Tamandua tetradactyla: one gene and its partner. The protein of the gene in region 2 purifies or fractionates together with the protein of the main gene of each other region. This does not show direct contact. Links are inferred from orthologs where the notes say so. Each region holds a gene or a part of one and is shown on either strand. Other genes may lie near its edges. The genes, in order: KDM3A and TCEAL1.

Evidence for each region.
Region 1: the proteins of TCEAL1 (region 2) and KDM3A purify together in Homo sapiens (affinity purification with mass spectrometry; 3 studies listed by BioGRID and IntAct, counting the BioPlex papers as one, with this or other methods). This does not show direct contact. The link is inferred for Tamandua tetradactyla from reciprocal best matches to the Homo sapiens genes TCEAL1 and KDM3A.

Annotation. Positions count from the first base shown.
Region 1 is NC_135343.1:60,835,996-60,843,704, reverse strand, and holds the start of KDM3A (lysine-specific demethylase 3A), read left to right. Parts: upstream 1-4,437; intron 4,438-4,850; 5' UTR 4,851-4,875; coding exon 4,876-5,052; intron 5,053-5,087; exon of another isoform or gene 5,088-5,248; coding exon of another isoform or gene 5,249-5,266; intron 5,267-7,709. UniProt on the Homo sapiens protein: Histone demethylase that specifically demethylates 'Lys-9' of histone H3, thereby playing a central role in histone code.
Region 2 is NC_135353.1:69,976,832-69,984,745, reverse strand, and holds TCEAL1 (transcription elongation factor A protein-like 1), read right to left. Parts: upstream 2,755-7,914; 5' UTR 2,569-2,754; intron 2,541-2,568; exon of another isoform or gene 2,405-2,540; intron 2,139-2,404; exon of another isoform or gene 1,999-2,138; intron 1,695-1,998; 5' UTR 1,665-1,694; coding exon 1,185-1,664; 3' UTR 669-1,184; downstream 1-668.

The DNA of each region.
Region 1 (7,709 bases), on a different chromosome or scaffold from region 2:
TAATTAATAGACCCAGCAGCATATATTGAAAAGTATACTCTTCACACTTACTGGAAATGTTGTATTAATTATAATCCAATTTCTCATATACACATGGATCTGTCTCCATATTATCTTAACTATTTCCATACTTCTTTCTTGATTCATTCATTCATTGTAATTATCATTTAATCTGGGGAGAACTGACATCTTTACTTTATCAAGTCATTCCATATAAAGAGATGGAATGTCTTAAATCTTTTTACATGACAGTAAAGTCATAGTTTTTTTCATGAGTTTTGTTCATTTCTTGAACTTATTCTTAGTTGTTCTGTAGCTTTTATTATCAGATACGGTTTCTCTTTTTTTCTATTGACTGTCATGATCGAGGCTCATTAAAGAAGGATTCTTGTTTGTTAATCTTTTATGGCACCACCCTTGACTCACGTACTAGGTCTAATAATTCATCAATAGTGGCCCTAAATTACCTACAAATTCTGTGGAATTTTTCCCTCCATTCCAACGTTTATATTTTATTATTTATTTTGCTTGTCTTATTGTATTAGCAATTAACCTCCACTATAGTTTGATGGCAGTGACATCATTGCATATCTGGATCTCGCTCCTGACTTCAGTGGGAATCCTTCTAAATTTTTACAATTAAGTATGACATTTAAGTATATTTCTGATAGACATTCTTTACAAAATTATGGTAGTTTCCTTCTATTCATAGTCTGCTAGGAGTATTTTGTAACGAATGATGAAAGTAAAACTTTACAAGTGCTTTTCTTTTTTTTTTTTACAGCTACTGAGATAATATACATCTTCTCCTTTAATCTGTTAATGTAGTTAAATGCAGTAATAGGATTTTAAAATTAATTTTAAATTTCAAAAGTAATATGTAAACCTATTCATGTTATAAGAATGAATTACATATAAAGTTAACACATTTTTGACTAATACCCTCAATTCTAATATGCATCCTCCAGTTATCATCATTATGAGTTTTAATGTTTCATAGAAAATATACACTATTGTTTTGTTAGTGTATTTTAAAACAGCACTCAATTGAATTTTCATTTTCATTCAAAATGTGTTTCGGTGATCTCTCCTTATTGGTACATCTAAATATTTCATTCCTTTTCAAATACTCTAACATTCAATATTACATCATGTAAATACAGATATTATTGTATTTATTCATTCCCTAATCAAAAAATTTTTTCACAACAAACAATGCTGAAATGAATAACCTTGTAGTTGTCTCCTAGTTCATATGTTTTCTAAGACAGATATCTTACATTCTTAGCTTTCTAGGAAGTTTAAAAATATTTTTAAAATCATGAATGGGTGATGAATGTAAATACGTACTCTTAATACTTCTGGTTTTCTAAGAAATTTAGAAACACTTTTAAAATCACAAACAGGTGTTCAATGCAAGTGCATACACTTCCACTAAATGAACATACTTTTCTTTTAAGCTGTGAAATAGTGAATTATAGTAATTCTTAATCTTGAAATATCCTTATATTCATAGGATAATCCTTATTCATCATTGTGGTTACTTCAAAAATATACTGCTGGACTTGCTGATGTTTTATAAGATTTTTTCTTCTATGTCCATAAGTGTAATTGAAGTATAGGTTTCCTTTCTAGTGCTCTCTTGGTTTAGATTTGGTAATCAGTTTGGGTAGTTTTATAAAATGTATTGGCTAGCTTTCATTTTATTTTTTGTGCCTAGAGAATTACTCTGTTATATGAGCTACACACCAAACTTCATGTTTAGTATATTAACAAACAAAACATTGGTTCTCTATGAGTCATAATAAAAAAATACCTGTTATAACAATCTGGAAAAGGTAAAATCAAAATCATAATCTACAGCAAATATCTTACAAAGAAGGAATCAGTAAAAGTTAATGCAGTGCAGCTTTAAGGACGAAAATCATCACAGGAATCTATACTAAACACTGTTATCACTTGAGACTACTTGTGAAGCTGAGGAAGAGGAATGCCTCAATTCACACTGAACCAAGTACTGTGTTCTGAAACAAGCTAAAATTTCCTTAAACAAAAAACAGCATTTGCTGATTTTCAGCTTTTATCACACAATACTGATACTACTGAGAAAAGAAGGCATGCACACAGTATCAAAAGATTTAATGTACATGACAAGAAATACACTAAAAATAATTGTTACAAAAGCAAACTTCAGGAAGCTATAAACATGAAAGAACCATTTGTTTCCCTACATAGCAGTCTGAAATAAATCCAAAGAGCAGTATAAAGACCACTGAAATTCATTAGTTCAACGAGTGAACAAAATGACATATTTTAAAACTCAATGGAAAAAGCTACTAATTAATACTTTAGATTTTTTTTTCTTACAAGTTTTGTGGTTTATACTCAAAGTTCAACCTACATTTAACATTTTTAAGTTCAGTCATGCCAAAAGTTTTGACTTGCTTTCTACCTCTCCTAAGTTCTGGTACTGCGCATACACCAGAGGAATTATACGTTCCTTGAAGTTTGGTCGAATGTGTTCCTTAACAATTTTTTTTTTTAGATTAATAGTTAATTACCCAATTTAAGTCTTCCACATCTTCACTTATTTAAAAAATCTACTTGACTTTCCCTATTTCTGGGGCAAATGTATTTAAGTTTTCTACTCTTACTATAAATTTGTTAAAAGTTTTCTCACAGTTCCAATAGTTTAGTCTTAAGTTAGGCTAAACTATGTTGTTAGAGTCATAATAGCTCAGAAGTTAATAGTATCTTCACGGACTTTATATTTTCTTAACATAAATCCTTTTCTCTTTTGATGCTATTTGCAACTACTTATATTAATTTACTATACTGATTTCCTTTTACCATAATTTAATTAGTAAAACTCCTTTTTTTCCTCAATATTTTCAAGCTTATGTTTCTGTAGGAGTGTTGTTTGGAATCAATTTATAGTTTGGATTTCGTTTTTTATTCAAGCTTTAAAACTTTTGAGTAAAATTAACCCATTTATACTTATTGTAAACATTGATGTTTGCACTTAACTCCCCCCTTCATTCTTTCTATTGACAATATGTCTGGTGTTTTATTTTCCTTCTCCTCATTACTGCATTTTGTTGGATTGGATAGGTTTATTTTTCTATTTCCCCCATTTTTAATGATGTGTAAATCCAATTTAATTCTTCTAGAGTTCAATCTTAACTCTAAAAAATTTCTTCATGTTGCATATTCAAAGCATGTAGAGTTAAAATCAACATGTGGTATTAATTTGCACTGCGATCCCTTGAATAATTTTCTGAACTCTTTCAGATGATCAGTTTTCACACCATAAAACTGGAAACACTAGCACTTCATTCGTTATTTTGAGGATTAAATGTGATGCTATGTCAGGCTCAACGTCTCTATAAAACAATAAGTCTTCAATTCATTCCATGTCTTCTTCATTATTCCACAAAAAAACTTGAGGTCCAAAACACAGAATCAGTTCTTACCTCCTTTGTCCTTCAAAGTCACCTCCTTTTCACCTTTCATATCTCTTCCATCATTATTGCCTTCATCTAGTCTTTCAATTTCTTTGTAAATCTCAGAAAATGATTTCATTCCCCCTTTTGTTTTAAAAAAAACCTTTCTATATTGTACCCACCGACCTCTTTTGCTCTTAGTGAACATCATTTCCCGATGCTTCCACGCCTTTCTTCATCTTCCTTCAAAATGGCGGACTTCAGACGTTCCACGAGCAACAGCACGTGCGCCTGCGCCTCCCGCGGCCATCTCGACCAGCAGGCCCAGCGCCCCCTTCCGCTTCGCGCCTGCGCAGGAGCCCCGAAACGCCGTCGCTCCTCCCCCGGGTTGAGTACGCCTGAAACCGCACGTCCCCGTCCTTCCCTCCCCCTCAGACTTCGCACCGCCCTCACCCTTTCCTGTGAGATTCTTCCGCATATGGCAGACCCATTTTGGTTGACAGCCTGCGCACTCGGAGAACGATCCAATAGGGACCTACGGCCAGGTTTCGACACTCAAGTCTTGTTTGTGCGCCACGGCGATCTTCCTCAGGGTCCCAAAGTTGATAACTGATTTGCGGGACTTTTTTGCATCTCGTGAGGCAGCAAACGGGAAGAATGGGACTGTGGCGGAGGGATCTCTCGCTCGGGTTTTGCGTACTTCAACTAATGGGGGTCGCCCTGGAGTCGGAAGGGGGAGGGGAAAGGGCGGGGCCGCCAAGGAATTGTTTTTTTCTGTCGCCCCTCCCTCGCCAGGCCGGCCAATGGTGATGAGCTGTCTTCCTACGGGCCCCGCCCAGCGGCCCCCGGCAAGCCAATGAGCCGCGGCAGCGGCTCTGAGGGGGCGGGTCCGGGGGCCGTGCGCGTCCTGCGAGGCCGGGGCACCAAGTCGGCTGGAGTCTGCGGGCGGTTGCGAGCGGCTGCGCCGCGGGTGACTCAGGAGGCGGGAGGCGGGGTGAGGCACCGCGGCCTCGGTCGGGGAAGGGCGGCGGCGGCAGGGAGGCAGGCCGGCAGGCCGTGGCAGAGGGCGCCTGGGGGCCGGGAGGGGCGCGGGCGAGCGCGGGGTGCCTGGGGCGGTGACGACCCGGCCCTCCCTCAGAAGGCGCCTCCGCCCCGGGTGAGGGGCGAGCCCCTGGAAATTCACTTGAGTCGCAAGCCGGGCTCCCTTCACTCCCTCGGCGCTCAGGCTTCAGATTTGGGCGAAGCGAAACTTGGGCGAGCGCGGGGGCGCAGCTTCGGGGTCCGCGTGTTCGGGGGGGAGGGGGCCGGGGACTCCCGGGCCCCCGCGTCCGGCCGCCGCCCGCGCTTGCGTTCCTGGCGCCGGGCTCGAGCGGCCGCTCCCGTCTCACGCCTCTTCGCGTGTCGCAGGCGACCCTCCCCGCGAGCCGGGACGATGGTGCTGACGCTCGGGGAGGGCGGCCCGGCGCTGGTGGGGAAGCGTTTCCTGAGCCTGAGCGCGGCCGAAGGCGGCTCCGACCGCTGGGACGTGGAGCGCGTCGCCGAGTGGCCCTGGCTCTCGGGCACCATCCGGGCCGTGTCCCACACGGACGTCACCAAGAAGGACCTGAAGGTAACCCCTCGGGACGCCCCCTGCGACTGCCCCCTACCCGTTCTGAAAGTTGGCGTGATCCGAGGGTGCCGAAAACCAGACCCTGGTGGGACTGCACAGCGCCGGCACTGTTGGATGATGGGTTCGAGGTGGTGCAAACGCGCTCGATTATCGCTCCAAAGGTGGGGTAATTGGGAGAATTAAGGTGGGCAAGTGGATGACGACTAAAATCATGGTAAGAACAGGGAGGGTAGTGGCTTGGAAGGGTTTTCAGTTGTTTGGTATGGTTGGTTGGTTACACTTAATTTCTTGTTCAACTTTTTAAACTTTGAGGCTTGTTAGAAATGAAGCGGGAAGGTAGAGGGAGGAGCTTATTCGTGTTTTTGGCGAATTAGGGTGTGTGTGTGTCCGTAGATGGTGGGTCAGGTCAGGAGTGGGTTCCTGATGCTACGGGATGGGGTCTGTGGGTGGGTGTGGAAGATGACCACATCTGTAAGGATGGGGTGGAGCTGCCCCATATATGGTGTATTGGAGGAAGGGCCTCAAAATATTCCACTTGGGTGTATGGGGAGGGATGGGGGGGGGGGATGGGACCTAGTACAGCCAGTGATTTTTAATCAGAATGACACTCCGAACCATTTTCAGTCTGATCTTTTCAAAGAGAGTTGAATTCCGATTTACTCCCTAACCCATCAATGTGAAAACGTTGTCTGGGTACAACCAGAGAAGAAGCCACTGTACCAACAAAGACTCCTTTGTGCAAAAAATAACCCCCCAAAATGCTCCCTCACAAAGACTGTGCTAGTGATAACTTGAAGGAAGCTTGACAGAATGGAAGATATTTCCTCTCTGGGTAGTAAATATCTTGTTTTCTGTACCTTCATTTGGTAATCATCTTTGTTTTTTCTTGAAAACTGCTCAAATACGGGAAGCAAGTTTTGGTGTTAGCAGTCAATATGTGTTGATTTCTGAAACATAAGTTAATTTTAACACTTTCAGGGTGACAGTTCATGCCCAAACCAGCAAGGTGTTGTGGGAAGAGGGATGTGTGGTTCTATTTTTGAACTTTGCAGTGTACCTTGTGTTCATGATTAAAAGGAGTGACGATCGAGCACCTTAACCGCATGCCAGGAGTCATGTGAACATATCATAGCCATCATCTTTTTGAATCCTTCCAGCATGTCTTTGGGAGTAGGGAATAATATTGCTCCTGTTTGACAGACGGAAGTACCCAAGCTGCCCAAGCTCAAATACCTAGGAATTGGGATATCCTATATGATATCCCAGGAAGTTTGGACTCCAGGAGCCATCCTTTTCAATCCCAGCCTGTATTACTGAGGTTGTACCACAGAAGGGCTTTTGTCATACATTGTAAAGTTCGGTTTTCTCCTTCCTACTTATTCTTCTAGCAAACTTGGACATTTAGATAGTGTGTAGTGTGGTTCAGGGATAACCAGTCTCTCTCCTTTGGTCAGTGACCTTTCTACAAAAAGTAGCCTTTTGAGTATTAGATTTCAGTCATCATTGTTGTGGCTTGTTTCACCTACCAAGTACAGGTTTCTTTAGAGCATTTGTTTTTATCAGATTTGACTGGAAACAAGGTTTGATTTAGACTTTGTAGTTTTTAGTTCTTTGGTAGATGAGAGACTTGGTGTTCCCTTCCCTGACAATGATTGAGGGCCTTTTCGGCTAGATAGGCAATCTGAGAGGTTCTTACGCAGGTATTCTTTTTAATCTTTATGCTCTCATTTCCCAAACTTTGAGGTAGTGGTGGTATCCTTATTTGCAAAATGAGGAAATAGATTTAGGAAAAGGAGTCTTGTCTGGAATTTCACAATTGGCCTCTAAGTGATTAAGGCAGGATTTGCAACTCTCGAGACACATGGCTTTGTCTTTACTGCACTAAGATGACTAGTGTAGAAGTAGCAGATATTTCAATTCATTAATAATTTCAACTGTATTTGATTTTTTTTACCTTATTTGTAGATTTCATAACTCAGCACCAGATGTACTCTTTTTAGCAGTCATAAGTTATTGCTACATTGAAGATGAAGTAATTGCCTTATTGTGTTAACAAAAAAAAAGTAGGATTATAAAACACAGATCCAATTTTACTTGGTGAGGTTTAGGCAGGCTTACACCTGGGTTTATGGATGATGAGGTTGTTTGGGAGTGGAGCATGGTGCTAAGTTGAAGGTGAATAAATAAATAGAATTGGAGAAGTGTGAAATGTTCTAGTACCAGTATAAGTTTGTCTAGGCTGGCTGGCTTAGTTGACTGAGGATGATACTAATGAGGCCAAGGCTTGTTAAATCTGCTTTACTTTGAGAGTGACTTTGTAACTTTGAGAGTTACTTTGTAACTTGATAAAAAGACAATATATCTAGTAGTTTGTTACAAGTTAAGATGGAGGCATTCTAATTATAGATAGTAATTATTAAATGCTTATTATGTAGCAAGTAGTAACTATAGTTCACAGTATATTTTTGGTGGTTATCTACATTTTTTAGCGGCAGAAATTGAAGCCTCAAAAAGTTAAATAACTTGCTCCTAAGAATGTCTTCAGAACTCGGTAAACACTAGGCTTTAATTTTAATATTCAAGTAGAGTGAAGTTAGAGCCCTTTATTTTGCTATTTCCCCAGCACCTGGAACAGCCCTTGGCATAAGTGTGTGCTC
Region 2 (7,914 bases):
TATAAACCACACTTTCTAGAGAAGTGAACACAATTAATGAAGCTTTTCCAGTTAAACAAGGATATAGATTCAAGAACTTAGGGATCTTAACGGAGTAATAACTTTAAAAAAAGTAACTACCACCTGTGTTTCTAGAATTATCAGGATCAACAAAAAAACTTAGGTTTTATAAAGGTAGTTTAATGGACAAATTATAATATCTGATAAATATGTGTGTGTGTGTTTGCACAGTCTTACCAAGTACTTTGGCATGTTTCTGTTTGATAGTCAGCTGTGCCTATCAGATATGGCAGTATTTAAGGGAACAGCGGAACAGAAAAGGAACAGAATGTGATACTCACTTGGAGTCTCACAGGAGCTGTTTGTGAGCACTAGTGAGACCTCTTTACTATCCCTTATGTCTGAAGGGAATCTATAGGGCTTGAAGTCCTGTATGTGCAAGTGGGGGAAAGAGACAAGCACAGGTCACAAAATCTTTATCTCATTTGGGTCCACAACAGCTCAGTAAGGCAGGTATTACTCCTACTTAGCTGGGAAATGACCGACCCTTAAACATGTAATAAATACCTGGCTCATATTTCTACTTAAGAAATTCAGAAGAAACTTGGGATATATTTTTTCTTTTTTTAAGTTCTTACAAGCATTTATTAAGTCCCCCATTTGCCATATGAGCTGAATGAGTTTTTTATTGCTTCACATATTTTCATTATATCATTGTGTTGTTTTTTTGAGCATGTGATACAAGTTCATCTTGAAAAACTAACAAATTCATATACAGTAAAAATAAAAAACAAAATAAAATACCTATTATTTAACACAGATAGCCATTGTTAAGCTTCTGGTGTATATACATTCAGTTTTTTCTTTGCAGGTTAATATATAAATATACAAGTACTTTTTACAAAGATGGGATACTATATATACTTTTTGAAAACTGTTGTTTTCACTTTACTATATAAAGTACATTTCCCCATGCATATAGGTGAAATTCATGTTGGAAAGAGGGAGACGTGTAGACTATAGGAGAATAAAAAGTTGTATGCCAGTTACAAGAGAAATACCTAAAACAAAGCACGCACAAAGTTAAAATTAAGATGGGAACCAGTCTATAAGAAAATGCAAACATAAAGTTCAGGTGGCAATACTAATATCAGATAAAACACTATTCAAGGCATAATACAACATTAAATAGGATAAGGACGGTTTCGTTTTGCCTTCCAATGCATTATCATCAGTTTGTTTCTTACTCTTTTCATCTCTTCCATGTCATCTGCTGCCTTTATCATCTCTTCATTGGTTAAATTCCTGCCATGTATGTCCCCTCTCAGCTGTGGGCGAGAACGCGCCAGCCTTTCTTTAAAACTTCCTTCTTCTAGCTTATGTTTTCCTACTCCACAAGGAGGCTGCTCCATTGGAGGGCGCTCCTCAAAAAGGTACTTCCTAGAAAGGCTCTCCTGAGGAGGGCGCTCCTCAGAAAGTAGCATGTCAGGAAGGAGCTCAGGAAGGAGTTCCTCCGGAAAGAACTCCTCATCTGAGGATTGCTCCTCCGAAGATTGTTCCTCCGGGGAGTGCTTTGTGGGAGGGTGCTCCACAGGAGGCTGCTCCTCATTGATCTTTGGCGTGCTCGGTGGCTGTTCTTCATTTTCTTTGCATGGTTTTTCCATGTTGAGAATGCTCTCCTTTAAGCAGTTATTCTTAGGAGACAAGAAAGGCAAAGTAAAGTCACGTACCTGGTGGATGGGCCAAAATCCCGGCTATGGCTTCCAATATCTGCCTTTTCTCGATTCGGGGCCCAGTACCTCAAATCTATAATCACTGAGAGGCTTTGTCTGCTTCTGCGGGCCCGTGTCTCTCTCTCTCTCTCTCTCTCTCTCTCTCTGGCGCCCTGTTTCCTCCTGACTCCCCAAAGCCCACCATTTTCCCAGCAGGCCTTTCCGTAGACCTCTCCCGCAGTGATAGGGGCGGGGCGACGGGGCCCGCAGACTCCATTCAGTTCCGCGTCAGCCCCCGCACCCGTGTCCCCCTCCAGTGCCCATCCCTCCTCCGACCTGGACCTCTCCTGGCGGTTTGCTCCTCGCCGACCTCTCCTTGAGGTGCACTGCTGTGACGTGCCCACCTGCAGACAGACGCAAGACAGGGTAGGGAGCGGGGTGTGGGGAGAACGGACGGACTGATTGGCACACGCCCTTCTCTGGGCACTCGCTGCATTCGCCCCCAGGCCGGTGTCTCTGGCTTCGTGTTCACCTCTCTCGCCCCACTTACTCCATACCAAGTCTCGTCCTCTCCACCCCAGCCCCACACCTCGCAGTAAGCGTCACTTTTTCTCAGGCGGGAAGTTGATGAGAAGGCTTATTTAGAACCTATTTCTAAGTGTCTGTGTGTCCCTCCTCAGGGACCCACTCACCTCTCCACCCCACCCCAAGAACGCCATTTTCTGCACCTAAATATGGACGCGGGGGGCGGGTCTGAAGCGTAGGGAAAAGGCCTGAGCTCTCTGCTGTCGGTATCCCACGGGTTACTAGGCAGCATCGACTCTCACACCGATTTAAGGGTATCGAGGGAACTTACTTCCTTCTGCTTTTCCCCACGACCAGAGGGCAATGGGGAGATGGTGTCTGGACAGGCAAATAGGACCAGGACGAGAGCGACTTGGGCAGACTTAGGCTCCTGGTCACGTGAGAGCCGCGCGTCACCGCAGAGCTCTGATCCCCACTTACAGGGCTTTGACCCAGGGCCGTGCTGCTGCAGCCAGCTGAACACACAAAGCATTGTCACTCACCTCTCTTTGTTTATATTTGCCTTTCTCTGTTACCCGAGACCGCTAGCGTGTAATCTTGGGATTTACTGCTTTTCCTCTCAGCTGCTTCCTCTAATACCACCTCTCTTCCCACATACCCCCCCTTCCTCAGCTACCAAGGCCCACTATTTCCCCCGCAGCCCAGATGCTACACTGAAATGTGACTATTTTACCTTCATGAATCAATATTAACTCCCTTCTCTCCCAGTTTTAATCGATATCCATAACTCCATCGTGTCCATTTAGGCTCTATCATAATGTTTTCACCTCTTCTTGTTATTTTCGTGACAGTCTTTCACTTTTCCTTGACATCTATGTTTTGCTTCTTTGAGCCATCACTAATAGAAGATGCAGTCTAATCTTTCAGCTCTTTGCATCTAGAATTTTTGATACAGAGCAAAATAAATTATGTTTTTCATTTAAAATATACTCTGATAAAAATACTCTAGAAAGAGTTAAGTCTGTAAAGGGTGTAAATCTAAAAACGATGAATACTTTGATTTTTATAAATCAAAATATACTTTTGTCTAAGTTCAAATAGTCCTGAAAATCCATTTGTTATCTGAAACAGGAGAGATCTTGGTGGAGAACATGGCATTATTATTTTAAAACATGCAACTAGTAAACAATCATTCACAACAGATGAAAGATTTTGCTGAAACTCTTAAGTTCTTAACTAGCCTCCTTTTGGTGCTGCAGGTCAAGAAAGTTTGTATTAATAATGAATTAAATCAACAAATATTAGAATCCTGGCACTGCCTGACCCAAAAAGATAGATGAGGCACAGAGGACATTCAGTATTGTACTATGCAATCATTTTGTTGACCACACACGGAGTAATAGGATTAAAATCATGCTAACATTCTCCATTGTTACTACAAGTATATATTTTTGAATCTAGTGGATTTTTAATGATCTTTGACCCCATGCCTGTCTCTCACTTACTCACATCAGCTTGGATACTACCATCTCAAGCAGTTACTCTTTCTCACAGGGAGCAGGCTACCCCTCTTCTTTTCTCCATGTCGTACACTTTCAGGGCCAGTGACCATCAGATCTCTGATAATACTGGGTTTTTCTTTTTTATCAAATCCAGACTGTCTAATAAGTTTCAAAACCAGAAATTTGTACATGAAGTTTCCTGTTTTAAGAACTTTTTGATGCTTTTCTCTGGTATCTAATTTACTTTGTGTTGAGATAGCAGCTAGACAGACATTAGTTCACCTTTATATCTTTCCCATCACTGTTTTAATATTCAATTTTCCAGTGATGCTTGTCTTTTTAAATTTATTATTTGTTTTTTCATGTTCCTTTTTCTTGTTTTTTTTTTTGATGATGTTTGTCTTTAAAGCCAAGTTTCACTATACCTTTGTTATTCTTCAACAAGGGCTGGGTTTCTCATGGTTACAGTTTCTTTCCAAGAGGAGTCCCATTTCATTCATTTACTAATTTCTCTTCTTTTTTTTTTCTTTTTGATATTCTTTGAGGGAGAACTCAGTACCTTATAAGACATCCTTTTGAAATTACAGATAATTGTGATCATTCGGAGTTTTTTTCTCTTCTACTAAACTGAAATCTGTCTCCCAGTAGTTTACACACATTGGTCCTGTTTCTGCCCTCTGGAGTAGTTCAGAACAAGTATAAAATAATAAAAGTACATTTTACCCCTGATAGTCTGAAACTGCCAGAGTTTATGTCTTCATTCTGGCCCCTTCCCATCCATGACACACATAACGCAATCTACCAATTCTTTTCATGACTCAACTTCCTCATCTACAAAATTGGAGCCAATAATAGTACCTACCTCACAGTATTGGTAAGAGGAATAAATGAGTCAATATATGTTAAGGACCTGGAATAGTGCCTAGCACATGGAATGCACTCTATAAGCATTAGCTGTAATAATAATAATAAGGGTATGACACTGGGCTAATAACATTACTAATATGAATTGAGACTTAGTTATGTCATACATTGTGGTATGTGTTTTCAGTGTTATCTCATGTAATCCTTAAACAATTATGTTTTCACAAAGACATTTTTTTGGAGGTTTAATCTCCCCAGTTATTTCAGCTGTATCTGAAAAAATACATTTTTCCAAAGTTACTCACAATCCTACATGCTCATTAAATTGTAAATTTCTCTGAAATACTGTATATTCTCCCTAATGTACAATAAAGTTATACTATCCTCTCCTTCATTCTTGAATAGATGCTATTCAACTATTGATATATCCTAGCATCATAGTAGATTTTGTGGATGCAATATCACACAGTTGAATGCAGTTTAAATTACACTCAACTGAAACACCCCAAATCTTTGTTTCATATATTCAGCTGTCAATACAGTTCTGTAATTGATTTCAATTTTTAAAATAATTTAAAAAATATATATATATAACAACAAACAAATGCAAATATTCCTAACTTATGATCATTCCGTTCTACATATGTAATCAGTAATTCATATATCACAATCATTTTTTAGAACATTTGCATCAATTTAGAAAAAGAAATAAAAAGACAACAGAAAAAAATTCATACGTATCATATGCCTTGCCCCTCCCTTTCATTGATCACTTGCATTTCAATCTAAATTTATTTTAACATTTGTTCCCCCTATTATTTATTTTTATTCCATATGTTTTACTCATCTATTGATAAGGTAGATAAAAGGAATATCAGATACAAGGTTTTCACAATCACACAGTCACATTGTGAAAGCTGTATCATTATACAATCATCTTCAAGAAACATAGCTACTGGAACACAGCTGGACATTTTCAGGCAGTTCCCTCCAGCCTTCCATTACATCTTGACTGACAAGGTAATATCTATTTAATGAGTAAGAATAACCTCCCGGATAATCTCTCGACTCTGGAATCTCTCAGCCATTGACACTTTCTTTTTTCTCATTTTGCTCTTTCTCTTTTGGTTGAGAAGGTTTTCTCAATCCCTTGATGCTGAGTCTCAGCTCATTTTAGGATTTCTGTCCCACGTTGCCAGGAAGGTCTACATCCCTGGGAGTCATGTCCCATGTAGACATGGGGAGGGCAGTGAGTTTGCTTGTTGTATTGACTGGAGAGAGAGGCCACATCTGAGCAACAAAAGAGGTTCTCTTGGGGGTGACACTTATGCCTAATTTTAAGTAGGCTTGACCTATCCTTTGTGGGGTTAAGTTTCATATGAACAAACCCCAAGATTGGGGGCTCAGCCTATAGCTTTGGTTGTCTGCACTGCTTGTGAGAATATCAAGAATTCAACTTGGGGAGGTTGAATTTTCCCCATTTCTCACCATTCCCCGAAGGGGACTTTACAAATACTCTTTTATTCACTGTTCAAATAACTCTGGGATTTATTGGGGCATCACTTTGGACAATCCAACAAAATCTCATGCCCTACTCAAGGTACCATGTACTTATGGTATTCAACTAAGCTGTCTACATAAGTTATATTAGGAAATGCCCTAGTCAAATATAAATTTTGTACCAAATAAACATTTTTTTTGCTTTAGTCTCACCAATAAGTTAAAATTTTAAAATATTAATTACCATCTGTTTTCAACACCCTGCAGTAATGACATACCTTTGTTCTTCCTCATACAAAAACATTTTTTAAATTTGTACATTTACTCACTATCATTATACACTCTAGGCATTCCTACATTATACCATCTCAGTCTTTATCGTCCTTCTTTCTGATTTCATTTGTGCCCCCAGCACTCTTCCCTCTATCATTCTCACATTCAGCTTCATTCAGTGTTTTAACATAATTGTATTCCATTTAGGTAGTATTATGCTATCCATTTCTGAGATTTTACAGTCAGTCCTGTTGAACAATCTGTATCCTTCAGCTCCAATTACCCAATATCTTACTCTATTTCTATCTCCTAATGGTCTCTGTTACCAATGAAATTCTCCAAGTTTATTCACTAATGTCAGTTCATGTCAGTGAGACCATACAGTATTTATCCTTTTGTTTCTGGCTAATCTCACTCAGCATGATGTCCTTAAGGTCCATCCATGTTGTTACATACTTCATAACTTCATTCTGTCTTACAGCAGCATAATATTCCATTGTATGTATATACCACAGTTTGTTTAGCCACTCATCTGTTGATGGACATTTTGGCTGTTTCCATCTCTTGGTAAAAGTTGTAAATAATGCTGCTATAAACACTGGTGTGCAAATGTCTGTTTGTGTCCTTGCCCTCATGACCTCTGAGTAGATACCTAGCAGTGGTATTGCTAGGTCATATGGCAATTCTATACATAGCTTCCTGAGGAAATGCCAAACTGCCTTCCACAGTGGTTGTACAATTTGACATTCCCACCAACAGTGGATAACTGTGCCTCTTTCTCCACATCCTCTCCAGCACTTGTCATTTTCTGTTTTATTGATAATGGCCATTCTGGTGGGTGTGAGATGATATCTCATTGTGGTTTTGATTTGCATTACTCTAGTAACCAGGGAAGTTGAGCTTCTTTTCAGGTGCCTTTTGGCCATTTGTATTTCCTCCTCTGAGAAGTGTCTGTTCAAGTCTTTTGCCCATTTTGTAATTCAGTTGTCTGTCTTTTTGTTGTTGAGTTGAACAGTCTCTTTATATATTCTGGATACTAGACCTTTATCTGATATATCATTTCCAAATATTGTCTCCCATTGTGTAGGCTGTCTTTTTACTTTCTTGACGAAGTTCTTTGATGCGCAAAAGTGTTTAATTTTGAGAAGTTCCCATTTATTTATTTCTTTCTTCAATGCTCTTGCTTTGGGTATAAAGTCTAAGAAACTGCCTCCTAGTATAAGATTTATAAGATATTTCCCTACATTTTCTTGTGACAGTTTTGTGGTCTTAGATCTAATGTTTAGGTCTTTGATCCATTTTGAGTTAATTTTTGCATAGGGTGTGAGATATGGATCCTCTTTCATTCTTTTGCATATGGATATCCAGTTCCCTAAGCACCATTTATTGAAGAGACTGTTCTGTCCCAGGTTAGTTGGATTGACTGCCTTATCAAAGATCAATTGTCCATAGATGAGAGGGTCTATATCGGAACATTCTATTCTATTCCATTGGTCAGTATATTTACCTTTATGCCAGTACCATGCTGTTTTGACCAC